Cricetulus griseus: one gene and its partners. The protein of the gene in region 4 purifies or fractionates together with the protein of the main gene of each other region. This does not show direct contact. Links are inferred from orthologs where the notes say so. Each region holds a gene or a part of one and is shown on either strand. Other genes may lie near its edges. The genes, in order: Srpk1, Ssrp1, Znf451, Top2a, Smarca4 and Ctcf.

Region 1 (3,500 bases), on a different chromosome or scaffold from region 4:
GCTTGATGAAACAAAAGTACCTTAAAATTCTTATATAGCATTATTTTTCATGAAAAAAAAAAAAAATGTGATGGCTGTGAACGGAGGATTTCCATTCAAGAACAGCCTAGACTACATAGTGAGGTCAAAGTCAGGGCTACATGGTAAGTCCTTGTCTTTATTTAAAAAAAAAAAAAAAGCACATCCCTTAAAATTTTCTGTGCTCATCCCTAAAAAGTATAGGACCTTTATTTAATAACCACAAAGCTACACATTGTTTTTAGATCTTGATGTTCCTGAAAAGGGGAATGAGTATATTCTCAAGAGGACACAGAAATAGCCATAACTGGTGCCTGTGTCTTGAAGCCCAAAACAAAGAAAATGAGTTTATTACTATTTACCTCCAACAAGGACACAGATTCGAGCATACAAACCTGCATCTTTCTTTGGCAATGAATTATCCCCTGGTTGATTAAGAATAAGATAACTTGGTGACTCAGTGCTTGCTGACTGATCAACTGCTATGTCCTTTATCCTGAGTTCCATCCACAGAGCCCATGCAGGAAGAGAGCTATTTTCTGACACACACACACTCTCTCAATAAAACTGAGGGCTGGAGAGATGGCTCAGTGATCGAGAGCACTGACTGCTCTTCCAGAGGACTTGGGTTCCATGTCCACACCCACATGGCAGCTCCCAACTGTCTGTAATTCCAGTTCCAGATGATCAGACACCCTCTTCTGATCTCTGCAGGCACTGTGCACATGTGGGGCACACACATACATGCAGGCAACACATTCATACACACAATTTAAAAATAATACAATTGAAATTGAATTCTTAAAGGATACGTGTTCCATTAACACCTGATATTTTAAAGTCATCCAGAAGCTGAACAACCATTTCTCCATTTGGATCATTCGGGTCTGAATTACGAACCTGTATTGGGAAGAATCCATGTTAGCACAAGTGGAGCAATCCAGGGAAGTTACTGCTGTTACCCAGTTCACCACAGAAAGGAGAAGACAGGTAAGATAAACTTGTGTTTCCAGGTAAACCCAATCAAAGACACTAGACTTGTTCTAGGTCAGGGGTTCTCAACCTATGGGTCACAGCCCCTTTGTTAAACCTCTATCTCCAAAATATTTACATTATGATTTGTATGAGTAGCAAAATTACAGTCATGAAGTAGCAACAAAAATAATGTTGACGTTGGGGGTCAGCACAACATTTACAATTGTAGAAGGTTGAGAACTGCCGTTCTAGGCTGTGTTTCTTTAGATAGTCTTACTGTGCAGCCTTGGCCAGCTTCTAACTCAAGAGATCAGCATGCTCTCTGCCTCCCAAGTGCAGGGTGTAAGGGCGTGCACCACCACACCAGGCAGGCTACGTTTTTATAACATGAAGCGGGTACTACAAACGGATGAACTTTTCTTTTGACACTCTTAGCAGTGCTGTGTGTCACATACAACATGCACACTTGATAAATGCTAACCACTGCATTTATCAATGCCTATAACATGCAGGAAACAAATATCTTCCTCTATGGCTCCAAGGAGCCCCTGAGTCTGCACTAGCCCTAGTCTACGTGATGCTGAGACCTGGCAGAGGCACCATGGCCACATGGTGACCTCAAACTTACCGATTTCAGCAGTCGGATTTCATCTAGTGCCGTTTCTGTGTAATGTTCAGCACTTTTAACTACTTTCATTGCCACAAACTTCTTTCCCCTAAAAAAAACAGACAATTCAGACTAAATTATCTGACCTTCACCTTTATAGCTAAAAGTCTAATGGTAACTGAGAAAATGAAGACTATTGTGCGTCTAAGAGTGGCACAAACTGAGCTAAAAGAAGCCATGCCAGGCAATCTCAGACACTGGACATCTTCTGAAGTTAACGTCCACCTTCTGATTACGGGAACAGCTAAAAACTACACCACAGTTAAGAAAATGTTACAGTAAAATAATTTTTCATTGGTCAGTCTAATTACCTGGAAATTTAACTTTAAACCAATGATTTTCTATTATGCAGCATTAAATATGTGTACAGACTTGAGCCTGGCAGTGCCACCAGCTTTACTGACATTGATTTAGTCCATCTCTTGCCTCAGTGGTGCAGACTGGTAAGCTGACCATGCCTCTGCAGGAACTTGTGTCATAATGAAAGCCAATATGTGTAATTAGCATGTGAATGCTAACTATGAAATAAAAAGAAACTTAAAAAAGGGAATCAACCTAGAGACAGACCTAGATCATCTCTTAGAAGTCAGAAACATCAAGGTTTATCTAATTCCTTCCCAGAGCCACATAAACTTACTGAATATCCCATGATAACCACACTGTTGAAAAGTGTCCCCAGCCCAACTTTCGGATCACATGGTATCTCCCGTTAAATAGATCTCCGATTTTCACAAGATGATAACCTCCTGGAAAAGATGGGGGTAATCAGAGGAACCAGGACAAAGCGCTCTCTCCTGCAGCAGTCACACACCATTTACTAATATCTTTGAGATCAGTTCAACATGAGACCCTTCCTTCAAAGCTACTGTTGTCACTCAGCTCTCTGTGAGGTCACAGCCCACAATATTTCGGGTCCCTCCAAAACCCAACAGATCTATTACAAAACAAATACTGGCCATCTCACATAAATGTTTAAAGGAAGAATAATAATACCATTGATTTAACTGAAAATCAGAAATCAGTAAGATCTGTTCTTCTAGATATAGGCCAACATGGGAGTTCCAAGCCAGCTACACAACGAGACCCAGCCCTGTCCTCCCTATCAAAAACAAACAAACAAAAAAAACAAAAATAACAAAAAAACAAAAAATAACAAAAAAAAAAAAAGAAAAAGAAAAAGAAAAAGGGAAGCAACAGAGAGGGCTACCTCAGGTACACAGACAATGCTTGCTGGGAAAAGGTCCACATTCTCCTAGTCAGCACAGAGATTCTCTACGCTGTCTATCCTAAAGACGAGGGGAGGCTCACCAGAAACACAGGGCAGCTGGATCTGATTGCCCAGTTACACTCAGCTGCCATCACCATGAGAAAAAGTATTTTTAAAAACCTATGTACTGGGGCTGGAGAGATGGCTCAAAGGTTAAGAGCACTGACTGCTCTTCCAGAGGTCCTGAGTTCAATTCCCAGCACCCACATGGTGGCTCACAACCATCCGTTATGAGATCTGTCTGCAGAAAAAAGGAGGGAGGGGGTGGGATTGGTGTGTAAAATTATGTACCAGCTGAATGTGGTGGTGCCCGCCTACAATCCCAGCACACAAGGCCAGCTGTAGCAGTCAGTGTACCTCACCTCTGACATTTTCAAAGGTAAACATGGACTGCTACTTTCAAAGGGGAAAAAAGATTTATCTTTTCCTAATTTTCATTTGTTTATTTTGGGAGACAGGGTCTATCTACATAGCTCTGGCTGTCCTGGGACTCAATCTGTAAACATGGCTGGCCTTGAGCTCATAGAGATCTGTCTGCCTCTGCCTCACGGCTGCTGGGATTAAAGGAGTGCA
Region 2 (4,150 bases), on a different chromosome or scaffold from region 4:
AAAAGTTCAGCAATGTATCCTTTATCAGAAACCATAGTTAACTGAGCATGTCAATTCAAAACCTTTAAAAAGCCAGGCAGTGGTGGTGCACACCTTTAATCCCAGCACTCGGGAGGCAGAGACAGGCAGGTCTACAAGAGCTCGTTGAGGACAGCCTCCAAAGCCACAGAGAAACCCTGTCTCGAAAGAACTGTTTAAAAACAATTTTGCTTTGTTACTAGAGGCTGTTTCTGGGACCCAGATGCCCTCAGCCATGCTCTCACAGATGTCCTTAATCTTTTTTGTTTGTCTTTGGAGGCAGGGTTTCTCTGTGTAACAGCCTTAGCTGTCTTGGAACTTGCTCTGTTTACCAGGAAGGCCTTGAACTCACAGAGATCTGCCTGCCTCTGCCTTCCCAGTGCTGGGATTAAAGATATGAGCCATCACCGTCTGGCTGCTAGCCACATGATGGCTCCATGGTTAAGAGTACTTGTTCTCCCAAAAGATTGGGTTCGCTCCCCAGCACCCACATGATGGTGGCTCACAACTGTCTGTAACTCCAATTCCTTCTTCTGAGCTTTGAGAGCACTAGGCATACACATGATACACAGCCATACTTGCTAGCAAAGCTCATATACATAAAATTAGTTTTGGTGTTTTGTTTTTTTTTGTTTTTGTTTTTTCAGACAGGGTTTCTCTGTGTAGCTTTGGAGCCTATCCTGGCACTCGCTCTGGAAACCAGGCTGGCCTCAAACTCACAGAGATCCGCTTGCCTCTGCCTCCCAAGTGCTGGGATTAAAGGCGTGTTTGATGTTTTGTTTTTGCTTTGTTTGTTTTTTTTTTTTTCAAGACAGGGCTAATCTGTTTAGCCCTGGCTGTCCTGGAATTCGCTCTTAGACAGGTTGGCCTGCCTCTGGAGTGCTGGGATTAAAGGCATGCACCAACACCGCACAGCAAAATAATTTTTTAAAAAATAAAAATATCTTTTTATACCCCCCCAAAAAAAACCCAGGTTGGGAGAGGAGTAAAGGAACTTCCAATCCCAGATGTATGAATCACCTTGCTGAGTTTTTAAACTCTGTATAGGTGCTCTTTTGATGAAACTGGATATTAAAAACAAGTAACTCAAACAGCTCAAAATGGAAAAACAAAATCTCAGAGCTAAGATTCTGAACCAGGACAGAAGGAGCAAGTGGAAACCACTATCTAAAACAAGATGTGAGAAAACCTGGAGTCCGGGCACAAAGAAATTCACAAGATAACATTTGCAATGAAAACAGACAGTAGTGTTTTGTTTAACAGTCTCCAGTTGCCCTGCTCTGAGGAGCCCAAACCAGCAATGACATGATTATCAGAACACCAACTGTCTGTAGAAGATTAAAAATAAACAAGACAGGGCAGTTACAAAAGGAGAGAGTCATGGCAACAAGATCTCTCACCGATTCTCGGAAGCCATCATACTTGTAGACATGGCCATTTTTTGTAAGCAGTTTAAGTCCATGGCCCAGTGCTACCCGGCGCCAGATGCCTTCTGTCAACTCCCCAGCCTGGATATTGTCCACTTTGCCGGTCTTGCTGTTCTTAAAGATGATACCCTGGCGGCTCAATCGTAGCCTCCCATCATTCTGTCCAAAATACAGAGCCAGATTCAGAACAGGATACAGTGTTAGCAGGTCCACTTTACCCCTCACCTGTGTGGTGCTGATGCAGGATGGCCAGATTATCAATGGAAAAGCAACAGTTCAAGTGGTGAGAGTGAGATCAAGTCAAAAGACACAAGAGACCTCAAATCAAGACCGAAAGCTTGGCTCTGGTACCCGCAGCCTTGTTAACCCCAGTTTCCTGGTTTTTAACACAGGAGTTTAGGATAGATCTACACGTGCAATCTCTTCAAACTGAAGAGCACAACTCTTGAGACTCTGCTGCTGCTTTTGCAGATACCCTATTTCCAAAACTGCAGTCAGGGTTAAGCTTTTCTTAATGGACACGAACTCTTCCCGATTTCTACATTTACTAAAAGACCAAGTCATTCTCACCATGGACCCTTTCACCTCCTGGAAGATGTCGTTGAACTCCAGTGTCTCTGCCATATTCACCTGTCTTGGTGGCCTGAGCACAGAGCCCTAGGCTGCACCAGAGCAAACGAACCCTTTTCTGGGAGCTGGGCCCCAATTCCTGGTGAGGTGTGTAGATGTTCAGCAGGGTGGGAATCTGAATTCAGGAAGGAGATTGATAAACAAGTAAAGACACCACCTTACCCCGCTCACCCATGGATAGCTGTGCCTAGACTGGATCGTCTCAAGTTCTCCAGCGCCTGAGGACCTTACAGACCCGGCTCTGCAGCGTTCCTGAGGCCAAGGCCCAGGACCCTAGGTGCAGAACCAGGCCTGTAGTGGCGCTTACACCCCAACCCGACACCCTCTCGGGACGTTCCATCGACAGTCCACGGCAACAATCGGCGCAAGCCCGGGACCTGCTCAGAGAGCGCACCTCAACTCGCTCGGAGAGTAGTGTCCCGACCCCAGCGATCCCACACCCCGAGACCCCCTGGACCCACGTTTCTCCCCCTCCTTTTAATATGGATTCGCCCACTGCCGGCGAAATTGAACGCGGAACGATCCATCTCGAGCGTCCCGCGGGGGAGCAGGGCCCATGCACACCCGGGACCCGGGATCGCGACCACCCACCTCTTTGAGCTGCAACCTCGCGACGGCACAGCACGGGCGGTGGGCGCAGGGGGACGCGGGGGAGGAGGTAGGGATGCGGGGGAGGGGACGCCGGGGAAGCTTTTCCCGCGTGCGCGGTCCCGCGTCCCGCCACCGGAAGTCGCGCACAAACCATAGAGAGGAAGACCTGGCTAGAAAGACACCAGCCGGGCGGACCAACGGGACGGTCTCCTAGAGCGTCGGTACCTTGGGCTAGTGACGGTCTTGCTGTGGAATCCCACGCGGCTGAATTGTTAACTAGGAAATGGGAGCTCTCTTTAGAAAGTTGCAAACCCTTCTAAAAAGCGGAGATTCTGAAGAGAAACTATGAAGTTTTATCAGGCTTTCAGGTTTGTTTGTATGTTGGAATCATTCATGTCCCTCTCTCCTGTTAAAATAGTCGGGGAAGGAGTCTTTTGGAAAGAGAAAATGCAGACCTATGGCCAAAATGACGCCCCCACTAGCCGCAAACGGAATGCGGGTGTCGGTGACTGTGCTTGCTTTCCAGCTGTATCCTGGCAAGTGGATCGGATCCTTTCTGAAATGAGTTCACCTTCCACCCCCAACATCATCCCATCCATATCCCTAATATGTGGGTTCTCAGGAAGAGCCTGGCAGATGGCCGCATTAACTTCCAAGTGCTGGTGTCAGATTTACCTTTGAGCTAGGACTTACTTGAAACCACATCAGCCTGAGTTGGCAGAACCCGGATGCCCTCACATAGCGCCAGGGTACATCTTGCAAAATCTGAAGCCGGGTCTGAAAGAGATGCTTGAGTTTATCTCGCCCTTCCTCATTTTACAGATGAGAAAATTGAAACACACAAAAGATTTGCCCAGGGTGTAAGTACATTGGCATCAAAGCTAGAGCCCGGAATTCAGATTCCTTAACATCAGCCTTTTATCATAACCATGAGGGTCCAACCTTTAGAGTAATTGCTAGCATGTGCCCTGCATAAAGACAGAATATTTAAACTCACGGTTTTCCTGACAATCACTGCACTGATTTGCTAACTCAGTCCTGGGATGTGAGACAGTCAAAATGCAGTCTTGCCATCTAGAATTTGTGGCTTTAACCCCTGGGTTAAGCACTGCTGTTTCTAGCACTATTTAACTGAGTCAAACTGGGTTTAAGACATGTAATGAGAGCCTATTGTTAAAGCATCACATTTCTAGGATTTGAGGAAACCATTGAAGATGGTTAAAACAGTCCCAACCTTTCAGGAGCACATACCCTAACCAAAGATTCAAGTAACCTGGGGGTAAAAAAGAAAATTCAGAAATTTCTATACAGCAAGAAGTGTTTCAGCCACTGCTGCCAACTGCAGTTAGAAGTAAGTGAATTTCCACTTTGCAGTGGTATACACCACTCCAGGAAATTGAGGCAGGAGGACTGTGAGTTTGAAACGTAACGACATAGCAAGTTTGAGATCAGCTAGGGACACAATGAGATTCTGGAGGACAGAG
Region 3 (4,007 bases), on a different chromosome or scaffold from region 4:
AATGTATCTTAAAATGAAACTATCACTAATCATAATTTAAATGATAGCACTTACATGCTCAGGCAAAGATCTATATACATTATAATACTTTATTCTTGATGCAAAGGCAGAAGTACCTTTGTACATTTAAAATAAAATGTAAATAGTACTTTTAAAATTCGTATCAACAAATACCTGAATTAACTAGTTACAAGCTATGTTATTTTATTTCACAAGATATAAAACAAAACATTTACCCCCACCCTGACAGGGTATCTCTGTGTAGACCTGGCTGTCCTGGAACTCACTTTGCAGACCAGGTAGCCTCAAACTCATGAGACCCATCTGCCTCTGCCTCCGAGGGGTGGGAATAAAGGGGTGTGCCATCACGTCCAGCTACAACTTACTCTTTGAACCTTACTCTTTACATATTCTATCAATTTCTCAAAAGGCCATATTTTATAATGAAGAGTTACTCCTTTTCTCTTACATGAAACATCAAGGTAAATATTCTGTTCATAAAAACTGTGATTCAGGAAGAATCTGAAATATTGGTCCTAAGGAGTCACTAAAACCTTTATTATAACACATTCATTACCAACATTCTCCTTTCTCCAAAATACTTCGGTTTGCTATGAAAAAAGGAACAAGACACAATGTATCTGCATACCTCAGTCCAGATCCTCAAAGTTGAAAATGAAAAGGACAGAGTGAAATGTGCAATGGAAAAACTGCCAAGAAAATAATTTTATGAGGACTTCCCTCAAAACCCCACTAAAACACCATACACAATGGATTGCCACAATGGCTCAATGTTGAGTAGGATCTTCTTCACAGATCACTATTTTATAGTTAGCCCAAACTTCCATATCCATATCAGGTGAACAATAAAGAACTATACAGTTTTATAATAGGCTGTAGCTAACTACAGCATTTCAGGAGAGCTGTAAAGAGCTGTAAGAGCAGGGACATTCTCTGGCTAGCTACTACTTTAAGAAGAGCCCAACATACAAACTTAACCACAGGTGAAAACCACCCAAAGCCGTTTGTCTTCCCCTTAATCATCACTTTATGAAGGTTGAGAGATCCAAATGTCCCAAGTTGTATTCCAAAATGACAATACCTAGGTTCCGCCCTGAAGTCCTGATTCAACAGATCTGGAGTGGGCCCAGGAATCTGCCTGCTCACAGTTAATGCTGGAAAACTACTGTCCCCAAAGGAATAAATTTAGAAAAACACAGCAATGCTCCAGGTGATGCAGGACTCCTCATTGTGACCAGCAATTGTACTGTGCTGTAACAAAATGACCTCAGAAATTAGGGACATCCTCAAGCTATCCTAGAAGATATACCACACTAAGATGCTGGGCTCCTCTTTGTTTGTTGTTGGTTGTTTTTTGATTTGGGGGGGGGGGGGATTCGAGATTGGGTTTCTCTGTGGCTTTGGAGGCTGTCCTGGAATTAGCTCTTGTAGACCAGGCTGATCTGGAACTCACAGAGATACGCCTGCTTCTGCCTCTCGAGTGCTGAGATTAAAGGCGTGTGCCAAAACCGCCCGGCAGACGCAGGGCTCTTTATAGCCCTTTCCTACTTCCTCGACATTAACTAGTCCTCTGTATATACATTTGGAATGCATTCTTGCCTCATTTCAAAACAAAAAAACAAAAAGCAGTCTTAAGAGACCAGACTTCAGTCCCAAGAACAAAACGGACACACTTAAATAAAGATCTGGGAGGGGCCATTGCATGCATAACAATTCTTCAGGCCATCCACTTTGTGATGCCTACTGTAATTGTTCCGGTATCCCTTCAGGTAAGCATCCAAGCATCTTTTCAGGTAAATGTCCTGTTCACCATTGTGTGGCAGCTATTCGACATTCATGACTATCTGTTGAGTGATGAATGTATGGTGAGGTTTAATCACACAATGGCTTACCATACTCTTTCAGTCCAGAAAACCGCGATTGTCAGCCTCTACTTACACTAACAAACTGAATGTCATCTTCATTTTCATCCGTTGTTGACTCAGATGCCTCAGGCCCAGCTGGTGGGGCAGATTCTATTATCTATAAACAAAAGCCAAAACACGCTTATCTACGCGGTCACACACTCGTAGAAGAAAAAAAAAATTTCTCCCCCCAAAAGAAACGAGTTAAGACAAAAGCCCCAGAGGGAACAGCGCGCATCACGCACAAATCCGACTCACAGAACTGCATGGAGGCGGGTTTTGCTAAGGCGTCTCGGAGCTGCAGAGACCTAGCCTTCCCAAGCGAGTTGCCACAATTCCCCTCCCCGCCTTCTCCAGGTGCAGGGATGCAGGCTCTAAACCTCCAGGATCCGGGGATTGCAGGCTTGTAAGGCAACGACGGCCTGCCTCTAACCGTCTCTCCCCCTCAGGGCTGCGGCTGCCACAGCTAGGGCGGCCGGGGGCTGGGGGCTGGGGGCGGCCGGACCGCCATTGTTGAGGGCTCCACGCAGACGTGCACAGGCCTGGAGGCCCAGCAATCGCCGCAGGCCGCGGCCCACCTGAGGCACCCACGGCCTAGAAGACAAACCCTTCGGGGTCGGGCTCGGCCGAGCCAAGGCCCGGGCCGCCACCACTCACCTCCGGCCCTGGGTCTCCCATTTCTCCCACGGTCTGTCAGCACCACGCTCCCGCCACTGCTGCTGTTCCCGACGCCGCCGCCACGACTTCCCTCTCGCCCTGCGCCGCCCGACCCGCCCTGCGTGAGCGCCCACGCAGATGACGCCTCAGGCCGCGGGGACGACGCCGAGCCGCTAGACCTCAAGCGCGGCCTCGCCGCCGCTAGCTTCCAGCGCCGCTTTGTACGCTCCCCGCCTTCCTCCCGCCCCGCAGAGGATCCTGGGAGTTGTAGTTTCCGCCGGCCTCGAAGCCGCCGACCGCGTGGCAGGGAAAGCGGGCGAGGACCTGGAGCATGGCGCTCACCTGCAGCTCCGGAAGATGGAGGAGGAGGCGGCGAGGGTCTTGACAGAGTTTTGAGTCCACGCAAAATCTCGGTCTGCTGCCGCCTTTTACTTGGGAGACACTGGCAGGGAAAGAGCGCCACTGCAAGAAGCGGGGAGGATGGAAAAATGGAGGACTTTTTCCTTTTATATCTTGGCAAGGGTGGCAGATGCAGAAGCTTATATGGCGTTTCTGAGAGGTCGTTAATTCTTGCAGCAGTCTCCCAAAGTGGCTTCCTTGTTCACAGGTCTCTAGACGACCCATAATTCCTGTAAACTAAAAGAAGCATTACTGATTAGGTCCCATAGTGCTGCCAGAGGTCTTTCATGTTTGTCTCTTGCTCTCTTCAGGCTAGGCTGAGCTGGTTCCTTAATTACTTGGAGAGTGGGACCCAGAAGTCTAGGCAAAAGAGGACCAGTGGAAAACAGACCTGGTAGTGTTCAGCTAATCTGTTCAGACCTTAATTGCTCCTACTGCCATAAAAGCAAAGCTCAGTGGTCTTTGCTTTGGGCCAGAAGGACGGTGACTGGAAATAATTTGTTGCCCTTTTCTCTCTCTCTCTCTCTTTTTTTTTTTTTTTTTTTTTTTGGATTGAGGTATGGAGTGGGTAGGTTTAGGTGAAGTCCAAGATGTGATGCCCTCTTAGGTAGTCACCTTTCTTATGGCTAACGCCAGCGCACCAGCAAGTATTGAATCTTGCTGAAGGACCAGATAGAGGAGCACAGCTGGAGTCCAGGGTTCAGCAGGAAAGGAAAAGCGCCAAAGACAGACTCCCTTCGTTAGGAAATGAACAGTGGCATTGTATTGTACCTTTTCAAGATATTCCCAGGCTCTATAAAATAAAACTGAACTTGTAAAAGTTGACTCATGCATTAGTCAAAACAACTATGGTTTTAAATTTTTTTCTCAAATAATGACTTGGAACAAAAGCCTTTTTAAAAAAATATATAAACAGAGGCTGGAGAGATGGCTCGGAGCTTAAGAGCACTCACTGGCTGCTCTTCCAGAGGACCTGAATTGAATTCCCAGCAATCATATGATGGCTCACAACCATCCGTAATGAGA
Region 4 (3,500 bases):
GAAAGGTATCATAAGGAAAGTCAGGATGCCACATAACCAGACTAACTCTCTTTTTCTTGCTACATGTACTGAGATCATGGAGACACAGTCAAGATGACTTTCTTCAGACTCTGATGATGTTTAAAAGAGTTATGAGTAATTTTTTATGGCTGAAACAAAAATGCATCAAATCATAGGTTGAACACTGTATCCATACTAGAACTGTCTAGTTCTATGTGATGGAATTCTACCTACACAACTGAAAAAGAAACACCTTGCTACCTCATTCATATCTTAGTAGACATAGGAAAGGAGGTAGAGGCACACTTTTGAAAACATACCCATTTTAGCTTAACATATGATCAATAAATTCTGTCATGCTGAAGTGAGCATATAATTATGTGGAATCCAAAAGAATCTCAAGCAAGATTTTAGAGACCAAAGAAATAGACACAAAACATAGATAAATCAGAGAAGAAAACAGTGTCATGAGATGGTCATCACTGAGACAGTATATAGAATATAAAGCTGATGGCCACGTAGGATAGTCTTATAAAAAGTCTTCCCCAAACTAAATTCAGAGGGGGTTAGAGAAGAACTTCAAATAACTTTAAAATGAACGGGGCTCAGTAAAACCATTGCTAAAACAATACTCTCCCCATCAGAAAAGATCATCATCATCTGACTCCTCCAGGTATTTGATAGGCTTCTTTGCTCGTCCAGATTTTGCTCGAGGAACCATAGTTTCATCTAAGTCCACTCGGAAATCCTGATTCTCTCCCTTGGATTTCTAAAAAGAGAAAAAATGCAAGCAATTTGCATATAGGGTCATTCCACATCACTCCAGACTTCACCAGCACCTCCTACTAAGTAGTAAGAAAAAGGTCCAAAGCAACTGTTCCACTAACTGATAGATTTAACTTTCCTACAGCTAAATTACACATGGTACAAAATAACGAATTCTGAGGTTTAAATTTAATTCCTTAAAAATATGCAAAATTAAGAGCAAATCCTAAGTTGGATATTTCAAGTTTCTAGAGCAAAAGGATTAAGTAGCAATAAATACCTTGCTTGCAGCAACTTTGGAGACTACTTTCTCAAAATCAGAGTCAGAATCATCAGAAGAGGACTGCTTCCTTTTGCGGCTGTTCTTGGCTTTGGCAGGCACAGGCTTTTCAGGGCCATGAGCATTCAAGGCTGAATCCGATTTGCTTCCTTTTGGTACAGCTCTCTTTTTGGTACCAGCAGTGGATGTTGAAGACTGGCCTGTAAGTCAACATGAGTACTGGTCATAATCACTCTTTGGTGAGTTTTCTCATTGTGAACTATCTTGAACATCACCTTCTTTTTTGAGACAAGGTCTCACAATGACCTAGAGTTCCTAATTAAGCTGGACTGGCCAGCAAGAAAGGCCCCAGGGACATTTACCACTGCACCTGGTTTATGCTGTGCTGGGGATTGATTCCAAGGCTTCACAAATTCTAGCCCAGCAATCTACCAACTGAGCCACATCCCCAGCTTTGATTTCTAAGTTATCCCCCCCCTCTTTTTTGGGGGGATTTTTCTCCGTGGCTTTGGAGGCTGTCCTAGAACTAGCTCTTGTATACCAGGCTGGTCTTTAACTCAGAGAGATCCACATGCCTCTGCTTCCTGAGGGCCGGGATTAAAGGTGTGAGCCACCACCACCTGGCTTCTAAGTTATTTTATATTGGATTACTTCCAACTGCTTATAAATTCTTTCCTTATGTCATAGAGATGAGCTAGATAATGTCTGGAATCTGAGTAATGCCCTGATTTCAAAATACTTTTGTTTTTGTTTTTCGAGACAGGGTTTCTTTGTGTAGCTTTGGAACCTATCCTGGCACTTGCTCTGGAGACCAGGCTGGCCTCGAACTCACAGAGATCCGCCTGCCTCTGCCTCCCCAGTGCTGGGATTAAAGGCTTTTGCTACCAATGCCCTGCTCAAAATACTTTCAGAGTGATCCACCTGCTTCTGCCTCGAGAGTGCTGGAATTAAAGCTATGTGCTACCATTGCCTGGCTATTGATTATAATTATTTATTGGAGTCTTGCCTATATGAGGGTGCTGGTTCCCCTGCAACTGGAGTTACAGACAGTTGTGAGCTGCCATGTGGACGCTGGGAATTGAACCCAGGTCCTTTGGAAGAACAGCCAGTACTCTTAACCACTGAGCCATCTCTCCAGTCCCCACAACCTTTTATTTTTTATTTGATAATGATGTAAAAGACACCACTTCCATTAGGATACTGTTTAGTTTCATCATCATCAGTAGACATTTTCAAAATAAAAACTTAAAACTGTCTTTTCCAAGTCAGTTAATCCAGTAATCAACCTTCTAACAGATCTAGGCTTACTTTTGGTGGCTGTCTTCTTCACTGCCACAGTCTGTTTGGAAGATGGCTTTAACTGTTCAGTGTCAGCTGGCAAGTCAGCAGCAGGAGGGCCTGGAGAAGCTGGCACACTGTCCTTTTCATCACTTTCAGGGTCACCTATTCCAAACAGGAAGGGAAATGGTCACAAAATTTAAAATATTCCACCTGCAACTCTGTCCCTGACAATGGATTCCCATTTTAACTAACTTTCTGGGAATATTTTAAATACCCTTAGAATTTAGCTGAATTTTAAATTCTTAGTTTTTGGGGGACAGAGCTTTGCTGTATGTAGCACAGGTTGGCCTTAAACTTGCAATCCTCTTGCCTCTAAGTCGAGTGCTAGGACCACAGGTGTGTGCTGTTGATTGAAGTTGGGTCCTCACACTTGCTTAGCACACATTTACTGAGACTCCCAAGCACCTAATCATTTTCCTCAGATACATACCAGACATGGCACTCTTTTGTGGCTTCAGTGCTTTCTTAGTATTTCTAAAAAAAAAAAAAGAACACACATAGAGAAGGCATCCTGACAATCAACCATTTCTACATGTGTCAAACAAAGATCAATAATACACCAACGACTATCAAAATAGTCACAACTAAATTCTGTGTTGATAGAATTCTTACTTTTGGGGAATTTTGGTCTTAGGTGGAGTAGTATCTAGTGGGAAAAAATCTTCATCTTCATCCTTTCCATCAGAACCTGAGAAATCTTCATCTGAATCCAAATCCATCGTGAATTTGGCTTTTGCTGTTAGGAACCAAAGAGGATACAGACATTTAAACACAGGCTGACTTAACATTTTGTTTTTCAAATTTGTGTTTGTGTGTGTGTGTACTCGTGTGCCATCATAGCGCTCATTTTATTTTATGTGCATGAGTGTTTTGCCTGCATTTATGTTTGTATACTATGTGCATTCCTGATTCCCATGGAGGCCAGAAGAGGGAGCTAGATCCTCTGGAACTAGAATTACAGACAGCTGTGAGCTGCCATCTGGGTGATGGGAATCGAACTCAGATCCTCTGGAAGAACAGCCAGCGCTCCTAACCACTGCGCCATCTCTCTAGTCTCTGACTTAACATTTTAGGAATATATATATGCTTCAGTTTAACTACAATTTTTTTTTGA
Region 5 (3,500 bases), on a different chromosome or scaffold from region 4:
AGCACAGAAACCTCAGGAAGAGACTCAACAAGCCTCCTGCCTTTCAGGAGCCCACACTTGTGTATGCACAGGATATGCATGGCCAGGTCTTACTGAAGTGTGGGCCATGATAGTGAACCAACTCTCCTGGGACCCTGATAGCCCCAACCACACAGGTATCCCAGATAACATCCCTCAAAGCATTCTGAGAACCCAGCATTTTCACTGGCAGAAAAGGCCTCATGAGCCCAGAGTTGAGGCCACCAGACCCACCTGCCTCTGGAAGTTCAGCAACCTAAGGGCCTTGAGTTCAATGGTTGCTTTGGTTCGCAGGTCCCCAGCCAGAGACCCAGGAAGATTTTCAAGTTCCTGAATTCGATGTGCAATTCGAGCCTGCAGCCTGGGCAGAGACAGAAAAAGGACAAGCGGTGAGGACTATCCATCTGCAAGTAATCACCTGGTCTCTGTCTTTAAAGCTAGAGTCTGTAAAGAATCTGTCCTTTGGGCTGGAGAGATGGCTCAGGGATTAAGAGCACTGCCCGTTCTTCCAGAGGTCCTGAGTTCAATTCCCAGCAACCACATGGTGGCTCACAGCCATCCATGAAGTCTGGTGCCCTCTTCTGGCCTGCAGGGACACATGCAGACAGAACATTGTATACATAATAAATAAATCTAAAAAAAAAAAAAAAAAATCTGTCCTTCAAAGGAGGGAGACCCAGCCCAACTGTAAGAGATATGACACCTGAGAAAGGGACTCCAGTTACAACAGAACAGAGGCAAGCAGCCTAAGAGTACTCTTGAGAACACACCTGCTGGGACCACAGCAAGCCTTTAACCATCCTTATTGACACACGTTGAATCACCTGGGAAGAGGAACCTCAAGTGTAAAGCTGCCTTGATCAGACGGGCCAGCCCACTGTGGGCAACAGGATTCTTAGAAAGGTAGGTCTGATGGAAGCTAGCTGAGCATGAGCTGGGACATGGCCAGTAAGCACTGTTCCTCCAGTCTCTGCATCAGGTACTGTTTTGCCCTGACTTCCTTCAGGAATGGACTGTTACCTGGAAGTCTTTGGTGAAATAAACCCTTTCCTCTCTACGTTGCTTTGGTCAGTATTTTATCAGAGCAATAGAAAAGCAAATTAGAACAGTGACTTAGCTAGGTGCTAACGCCACATGGGCAATGAGCTGTGACATCAGGCAATCCAGTTTCAGCATGACACACAGGGCTGTGGGAATCTCCATGGGCATCAATGTTTTGTCTGCAGGCTAAGGATATATCATGCACGCACGCCCACTAACCCTGTACCTACTATGTGCACCAGGGCAGTTTTCTCATGTGGAGCCTTAACAGTAAACAGGGGCTAAATGTTGCCTGTTCTCTTGTGGCTCACAGTCCCATTAGAAGAACTTCTATACAGGAATAAAGAAAGCAGTAAGAACCAGCAGCAACGCCACAGCAGCAAGTGCAAGGCCGAAAGGGAGCAGTATCAGGTGCCTCAGCAGTGAGGCCTGGATGGCCAGAAGTTCTAGGACAGCCATGAGCCTAAGAAAGAGATGAAGAACATCCCCTGGTACCTGGCAATCAACACTGGCAGTGTAGCACTTGGGTGCTTACCTGTACTCTCGCTCCTGTAGGATCTCCACAGGGTCCAGGCCCCGGGGCTTCTGTATGGGGGTGATGCGGCTCTGCTTCTGGTGCAGAGGCACCAATGGAGCAGGCTGGGCGGGCTGCCCTGGGGACTGTGTTTGTGGCGGCATCACAGGAGAGGCAGCAGGTGGGACAGCAGGAGGTGCAGGTGAAGGGCGGCCTGTTGGTTGGGGGGGAATCAGCTTCTGTGGGGTGCTTGTGGGGGCAGCAGCATTGGCCATGGGTCCTGGAGAGGCAAGCGGGATATGCTGCTTGAACTCTGGGGCCATGGGACTGCCCTTCCAGACATTCCACTTCTCTCTCACCCAGGCCAGAATCTAGACACCCCCATCCTCCAGCTCAGCTCTCCCACACCTGAGACCTAACCATCCAGTATTTGGTTTATCTGTGCTTGGCTTCATAGGGACAGCATGCCCCTGTCTTTCCTCTAAAGCAGTCCACTCCTCCCCTTTAGTAGATTCATCTCTAACATTTCAATTACCCTTGGTCAATGGCAGTCTAAAAATATTAAATGGAAAATTCCAGGAACAAACTATTGCTAGGTTTCAATTGAGTGATGTTCTGAATAGCTACACCCAAATTATACGTCTGCATCATTCACCGTTTCCTCACAGCAGCACCACAAAGGCAACTTCAGTGTACACTGTCCTGAACACATTCCAGCTTACTCTATCATGACACTGTCTGATGAACAAAACGTCATCACAGGCAGTGTGTTTTGCTGCTATTTGTATGCCAGGTATTCACTGAGGGTCTTGGATAGCTTCTATCTCAGATGGAGAGAACAGCTCTTATTTCACATCCAAACAAACTAGATTTTAATATACAATGAACCTCATCAGACACCAAGAGAGCAGGCAAGGTCCACTGTCCAAACATAGACCTTGAAATACCCAACTAAACTTCCAGAGGCACTTCTGAGAGGACAGGGCCAAGGCCACACACAGTCAGCAGAAGTACCGACCTCCACTGGGAATGCTGTCTAGAGAGAAGGAAACCATGCTGGACACACCTCTCCCCTCAGCTCAGAAGTACCTTGTCCTGAGCAAGCTTGTCTGTGTTCAATTATAGCCAGCCATTCTCCTTGAGTCAGATAGTAGACACATTCCCTGCCTTCCTTCTCTGCTGACTAGTGTAAGGAGATTGCAGGACATTCCCCACCTGCCTGACAAGGAGGATAGGAAGTACTCTGCAGATCCCAGCTGAACCCCACAAAAAAGCCCAAGGCTTCTTCTGGGGTAAAGGAGTGTAGACCAATCTCTGGGGTCCAACATAGCTCAGGCTCATGACAGGAGATAGGGCATGCCATCAGAGAAAAGAAACTCACCTTCAGGCCATGGTTTGGGGGGCCCTCCAGGAGGCTGACCAGGCATCCCAGGGGGCACACCTGAGGGTCCTGGGGGAGGCATGTTGGGCCCTCCCATACCTACATTCAAGGAAATAAAGCACCATAAATGACACTGTGTTCAAACCTGCTGGCCTACGCTCATGTCAGCTCAGAGAACACCCACACACCACAAATAATGCCAGAGAGATGGATAAAAAGCATTTATCTCAACATAAACCCATCCATCTCAGCAGTCCCAAGTACCATCATCTGGGAGCCAGCCAGGGCTGCCTGCCACTATCAACCAAACAACACCATCCCCACTCCAGGGGCAGTGCCCTTACCATGGGGCCTATTGTAATTTGGAGGAGCTGGTCCTGGACCTGGGCCAGGGCCAGGGCCAGAGCCAGGCCCAGGTCCTGTGGCAGACACTGAGGGTGGAGGTAGTGTTGGCATCTGCTGCTGCATTCCAGGCATTGGTCGCTTGCCTTGCACGGCCATCTGCAGGTGGTCAGGCAATGGCTGGCCCCGGGCCAACATCTTGTA
Region 6 (3,500 bases), on a different chromosome or scaffold from region 4:
CAAATTAAGAATTGACAAGCAGCAATTAGCAAATCCAACACTGATTTCATGTGATGGGTCACAGTAAAAATACAGGTACACTGTAAGTAACTACATAAAATTATCTCCAGTTTGTGTGCACAATCTTATGCTTAGACTTCAGTCCCTTTGCCAAGATGTCAGTACATTTATGCAAATAGTCTAAACTCCAAAACAAGGGGGCGGGGGGCTGGAGAGACAGCTCAGTAGTTTAGAGTGTGTACCACTCTTCTAAGGACCCACACTAAGTTCATAGCAACTCACAACCAAAACTCTGTAACTCCAGCTACAAGGGATCCAAACTTCTTCTGGCCCCAGCACTCCTGTGTACCAAATCACCACATACACATACATATATAGTTAGAAAAAAAAATAAATCTTAACCCCCTGCCAACCACAAAAACCCCCACAAAGCCTGGGGAAATGCTTGAAGCACCTTTCATGACAAGCATCACTGATAAGGGATACACAACTTGTACACTGGCATAACATGTTGCAGTGTGTTCAACCAATGGTTCATGCACAGAATTTTTTACTTTTGTATACTTCTTTATCTGGTCTCTCTCCACTGAATTCTCCCTATTCTAAGGTCTTCAGTTAATACTAGTTGATATTCTCTAAGGTTTAAAAAAAGAATTTGTGCTGGGCGTTGGTGGTGCACGTTTTTAATCCCAGCACTCAGGGAGCAGAGGCAGGAGGATCTCAAGGCCAGCCTGGTCTCCAGAGCGAGTACCAGGATAGGCTCCAAAAGCTACACAGAGAAACCCTGTCTCGAAAAACCAAAAAACAAACAAACAAACAAACAAAAAAAAAAACAAAAAAAAGAAAAAAAAAGAAAAAAAAGGAAAAAGAATTTGATTTGTAAGAGATAACATTTTGAGGGATTAGCAAAAAACGATCCAGTGGGTAAATGCACTTGTTGGTGACCTGAGTTTTATCTTCAAGATCCACATGGTTGAAGGAAAAAAACTGATTGAGTGGCAGGAATGCCCGACTCCCAGTAATAATAATATTAAAAAAAAAAAAAAAAAAAAAGGAAAGAATAACAAACAAAAGCCCAAACAGCTGGGTATGGAGGAATAGGCCTTTAATCCCGACACTCAGGAGGCAGGGGCAGGAAGATTTCTCTTGAGTTACAGACCAGCCTGGTCTATATTGACCCTGTGTCAAATAATTAAAAACAATAATTTTGTCTTCTTATAATATATATCATACTTATTTTCTTCAATAAGCTGTAATAAAGATCCTAGATTTTTTTTTAAGAGAGGGTCTCAATCTATACCCAAGACTAGCTTAAAACTTGCAGTAATCTACCTCCCCTTAACCTCCTCAGTGCTGGAATTACAGGCATGATGGATCACTTCAGTGATTCAGAGTTAATTAACATGGATTTACTCTGGCTTTTCCCTAGTCTTGTTAGGACTTCACACAGTGATGAGAATTGAATTTTATTGTCCCTTTTCCAGCTACCTATAAAGAAATACAGACTACTGAAATAGTCTTGTTTTGGATATACTTAACAACAACTTATTTTTTTCAATATAATACTAGATTTGGTTGCACACCATCCCCCCCATTTTGGTAGCATCCTTATCCAGTTTGAGTAGTAGGGTAGACTCAAATAATGAAGTCAATAATGGTTCCTACCTTCCTTTTTTCTCTAAGTGATGGGAATCAAATTCAGAGCCTCATGAATGCTGGGGCTTGGCAAGCACTGTACCACTGATCTATAGCTCCAACCTCAAACCTTCCATCATTGCAATTATTAAAACAGAGTCTTAACTATATTCCAGTATGCTTCAAACTCAATACCCAGTCCAAGTAATGCCAAACTCATAATTCTCAGCTACCCAATGCTAGAATTAAAGGGATACACACCAAATCTTCCATTTTTAAATGAGTAGTTATTTCTTCAATGCATAAGAGCATTTTCTTGTACTAATATATGGAATTTTTTGTTTTTTGACATAGGGTCTCTCTATATAACCCTGGCTGTCCTGGTTCTCACTACGTAGACCAGGCTGTCCTTAATCTACCTGCCTCTGCCTCCCAAGTGCTTGGATTGAAGAAGTATACTAACATACCTAGCCCTAAAATTGGTATTCATTCATTCTTTTTTTTTTTGGTTTTTCGAGACAGGGTTTCTCTGTGTAGCTGAAATTGGTATTCTTATATACACACACAAAAAAAGTCTAAGAAATCTCTTTCTCAAAAAAAAAAAAAAAAAAAAGAAAAAAGGGGGCTGGAGAGATGGCTCAGAGGTTAAGAGCACCGACTGCTCTTCCAGGTTCTGAGTTCAATTCCCAGCAACCACATGGTGGCTCACAACCATCTGTTATGAGATTTGGTGCCCTCTTCTGGTGTGCAGATATACATGGAAGCAGAATGTTGTATACATAATAAATAAATAAAATCTTAAAAAAAAAAAAAACCGTGGTAATGCTAACATATCCAAAACAGCTTCTTTAAAAAAAAGAAAAAAAAAAAAAACAAAAGAAAAAAAAAAAAACTAGACACTCACTTCTACACTGGCATAGTCACACATGGAACACTTAAATGGCTTCTCGTGGGTGTGTTTATAACGACGATGCCGCACCAATTCTCCACTGGTCACAAAGGCCATGTCGCAGTCTGGGCACTTGTGAGGACGAGTACCTAAAGGAAGAAAGAATTAAGGGCACAGTAAATGACAGGGTTCAATGTGTGACTCAAAGCTGTTGCATAAGCTGTACAAGCTACAGGAAGGCCTGAATGAATTTTTAGCATTAGCCTGTAGCATGTGAGGACACATGCTAAACTTTAGTTTCTACTATTTTTTTTTTAAGATTTTATTTATTATGTATAAAACATTCTGCTTCCATGTCTATCTGCACACCAGAAGATGGCACCAGATCTCATAGTGGATGGCTGTGAGCCACCATGTGGTTGCTGGGAATTGAACTCTGAAGAGCAGTCAGTGCTTTTAACCTCTGAGCCATCTCTCCAGCCCTAGTTTCTGCTATTTTATTGAATAGAAAAATCCTTCCTAGCCAGGCAGTGACGGTGCACGCCTTCAATGCCAGCACTTTGGAGGCAGAGGCATATGGATCTCTGAGTTGGAGGCCAGCCTGGTCTACAGAGTGAACTCCAGAATAGCCAGGGCCATACAGACAAATCTTAACTTGAAAAATGAAAAGGGGAAAAAAAAAAGAATGTATTTAGGAAAAAAAAAATCACAATGCCAAGTACTAGACCAGACACCTGCCAAAATGATTTTCTTTGTTCTTTCTTTCTCTTTTAAAGATGGGGTCTCAATACATAATTTTATAACCCAGGCCTTGAACTCTTTTTTTAAAGATTTATTTATTAGGTATACAGTCTTCTGTCTGCATGCCAGCAGAGAGCATCAGATCTCATTCAAGGTGGTTGTGAGCCACCATGTGGTTGCTGGGAATTGAACTCAGGACCTCTGGAAGAGCAGCAGTCAGTGCTTTTAACTACTG

Evidence for each region.
Region 1: the proteins of Top2a (region 4) and Srpk1 fractionate together in Homo sapiens (co-fractionation; 3 studies listed by BioGRID and IntAct, with this or other methods). This does not show direct contact. The link is inferred for Cricetulus griseus from reciprocal best matches to the Homo sapiens genes TOP2A and SRPK1.
Region 2: the proteins of Top2a (region 4) and Ssrp1 fractionate together in Homo sapiens (co-fractionation; 3 studies listed by BioGRID and IntAct, with this or other methods). This does not show direct contact. The link is inferred for Cricetulus griseus from reciprocal best matches to the Homo sapiens genes TOP2A and SSRP1.
Region 3: the proteins of Top2a (region 4) and Znf451 purify together in Homo sapiens (affinity purification with mass spectrometry; 3 studies listed by BioGRID and IntAct, with this or other methods). This does not show direct contact. The link is inferred for Cricetulus griseus from reciprocal best matches to the Homo sapiens genes TOP2A and ZNF451.
Region 5: the proteins of Top2a (region 4) and Smarca4 purify together in Homo sapiens (affinity purification with western blotting; 3 studies listed by BioGRID and IntAct, with this or other methods). This does not show direct contact. The link is inferred for Cricetulus griseus from reciprocal best matches to the Homo sapiens genes TOP2A and SMARCA4.
Region 6: the proteins of Top2a (region 4) and Ctcf purify together in Homo sapiens (affinity purification with mass spectrometry; 3 studies listed by BioGRID and IntAct, with this or other methods). This does not show direct contact. The link is inferred for Cricetulus griseus from reciprocal best matches to the Homo sapiens genes TOP2A and CTCF.

Annotation. Positions count from the first base shown.
Region 1 is NW_023276806.1:233,721,655-233,725,154, forward strand, and holds part of Srpk1 (SRSF protein kinase 1), read right to left. Parts: intron 2,407-3,500; coding exon 2,298-2,406; intron 1,710-2,297; coding exon 1,622-1,709; intron 919-1,621; coding exon 831-918; intron 1-830. UniProt on the Homo sapiens protein: Serine/arginine-rich protein-specific kinase which specifically phosphorylates its substrates at serine residues located in regions rich in arginine/serine dipeptides, known as RS domains and is involved in the phosphorylation of SR splicing factors and the regulation of splicing.
Region 2 is NC_048599.1:90,498,068-90,502,217, forward strand, and holds the start of Ssrp1 (FACT complex subunit SSRP1), read right to left. Parts: upstream 2,801-4,150; 5' UTR 2,667-2,800; intron 2,191-2,666; 5' UTR 2,070-2,190; coding exon 2,016-2,069; intron 1,605-2,015; coding exon 1,419-1,604; intron 1-1,418. Other genes in the region: P2rx3 (P2X purinoceptor 3), read left to right, coding at 3,012-3,042. UniProt on the Homo sapiens protein: Component of the FACT complex, a general chromatin factor that acts to reorganize nucleosomes. The FACT complex is involved in multiple processes that require DNA as a template such as mRNA elongation, DNA replication and DNA repair.
Region 3 is NW_023276807.1:14,160,683-14,164,689, reverse strand, and holds the start of Znf451 (E3 SUMO-protein ligase ZNF451), read right to left. Parts: upstream 2,801-4,007; 5' UTR 2,604-2,800; coding exon 2,583-2,603; intron 2,044-2,582; coding exon 1,960-2,043; intron 1-1,959. UniProt on the Homo sapiens protein: E3 SUMO-protein ligase; has a preference for SUMO2 and SUMO3 and facilitates UBE2I/UBC9-mediated sumoylation of target proteins. Plays a role in protein SUMO2 modification in response to stress caused by DNA damage and by proteasome inhibitors (in vitro).
Region 4 is NC_048600.1:112,071,888-112,075,387, forward strand, and holds part of Top2a (DNA topoisomerase 2-alpha), read right to left. Parts: intron 3,123-3,500; coding exon 2,999-3,122; intron 2,861-2,998; coding exon 2,817-2,860; intron 2,489-2,816; coding exon 2,354-2,488; intron 1,246-2,353; coding exon 1,046-1,245; intron 770-1,045; coding exon 641-769; 3' UTR 1-640. UniProt on the Homo sapiens protein: Key decatenating enzyme that alters DNA topology by binding to two double-stranded DNA molecules, generating a double-stranded break in one of the strands, passing the intact strand through the broken strand, and religating the broken strand.
Region 5 is NC_048597.1:134,519,547-134,523,046, reverse strand, and holds part of Smarca4 (transcription activator BRG1), read right to left. Parts: coding exon 3,299-3,500; intron 3,054-3,298; coding exon 2,955-3,053; intron 1,854-2,954; coding exon 1,595-1,853; intron 380-1,594; coding exon 253-379; intron 1-252. UniProt on the Homo sapiens protein: ATPase involved in transcriptional activation and repression of select genes by chromatin remodeling (alteration of DNA-nucleosome topology).
Region 6 is NC_048596.1:181,950,439-181,953,938, reverse strand, and holds part of Ctcf (transcriptional repressor CTCF), read right to left. Parts: intron 2,674-3,500; coding exon 2,540-2,673; intron 1-2,539.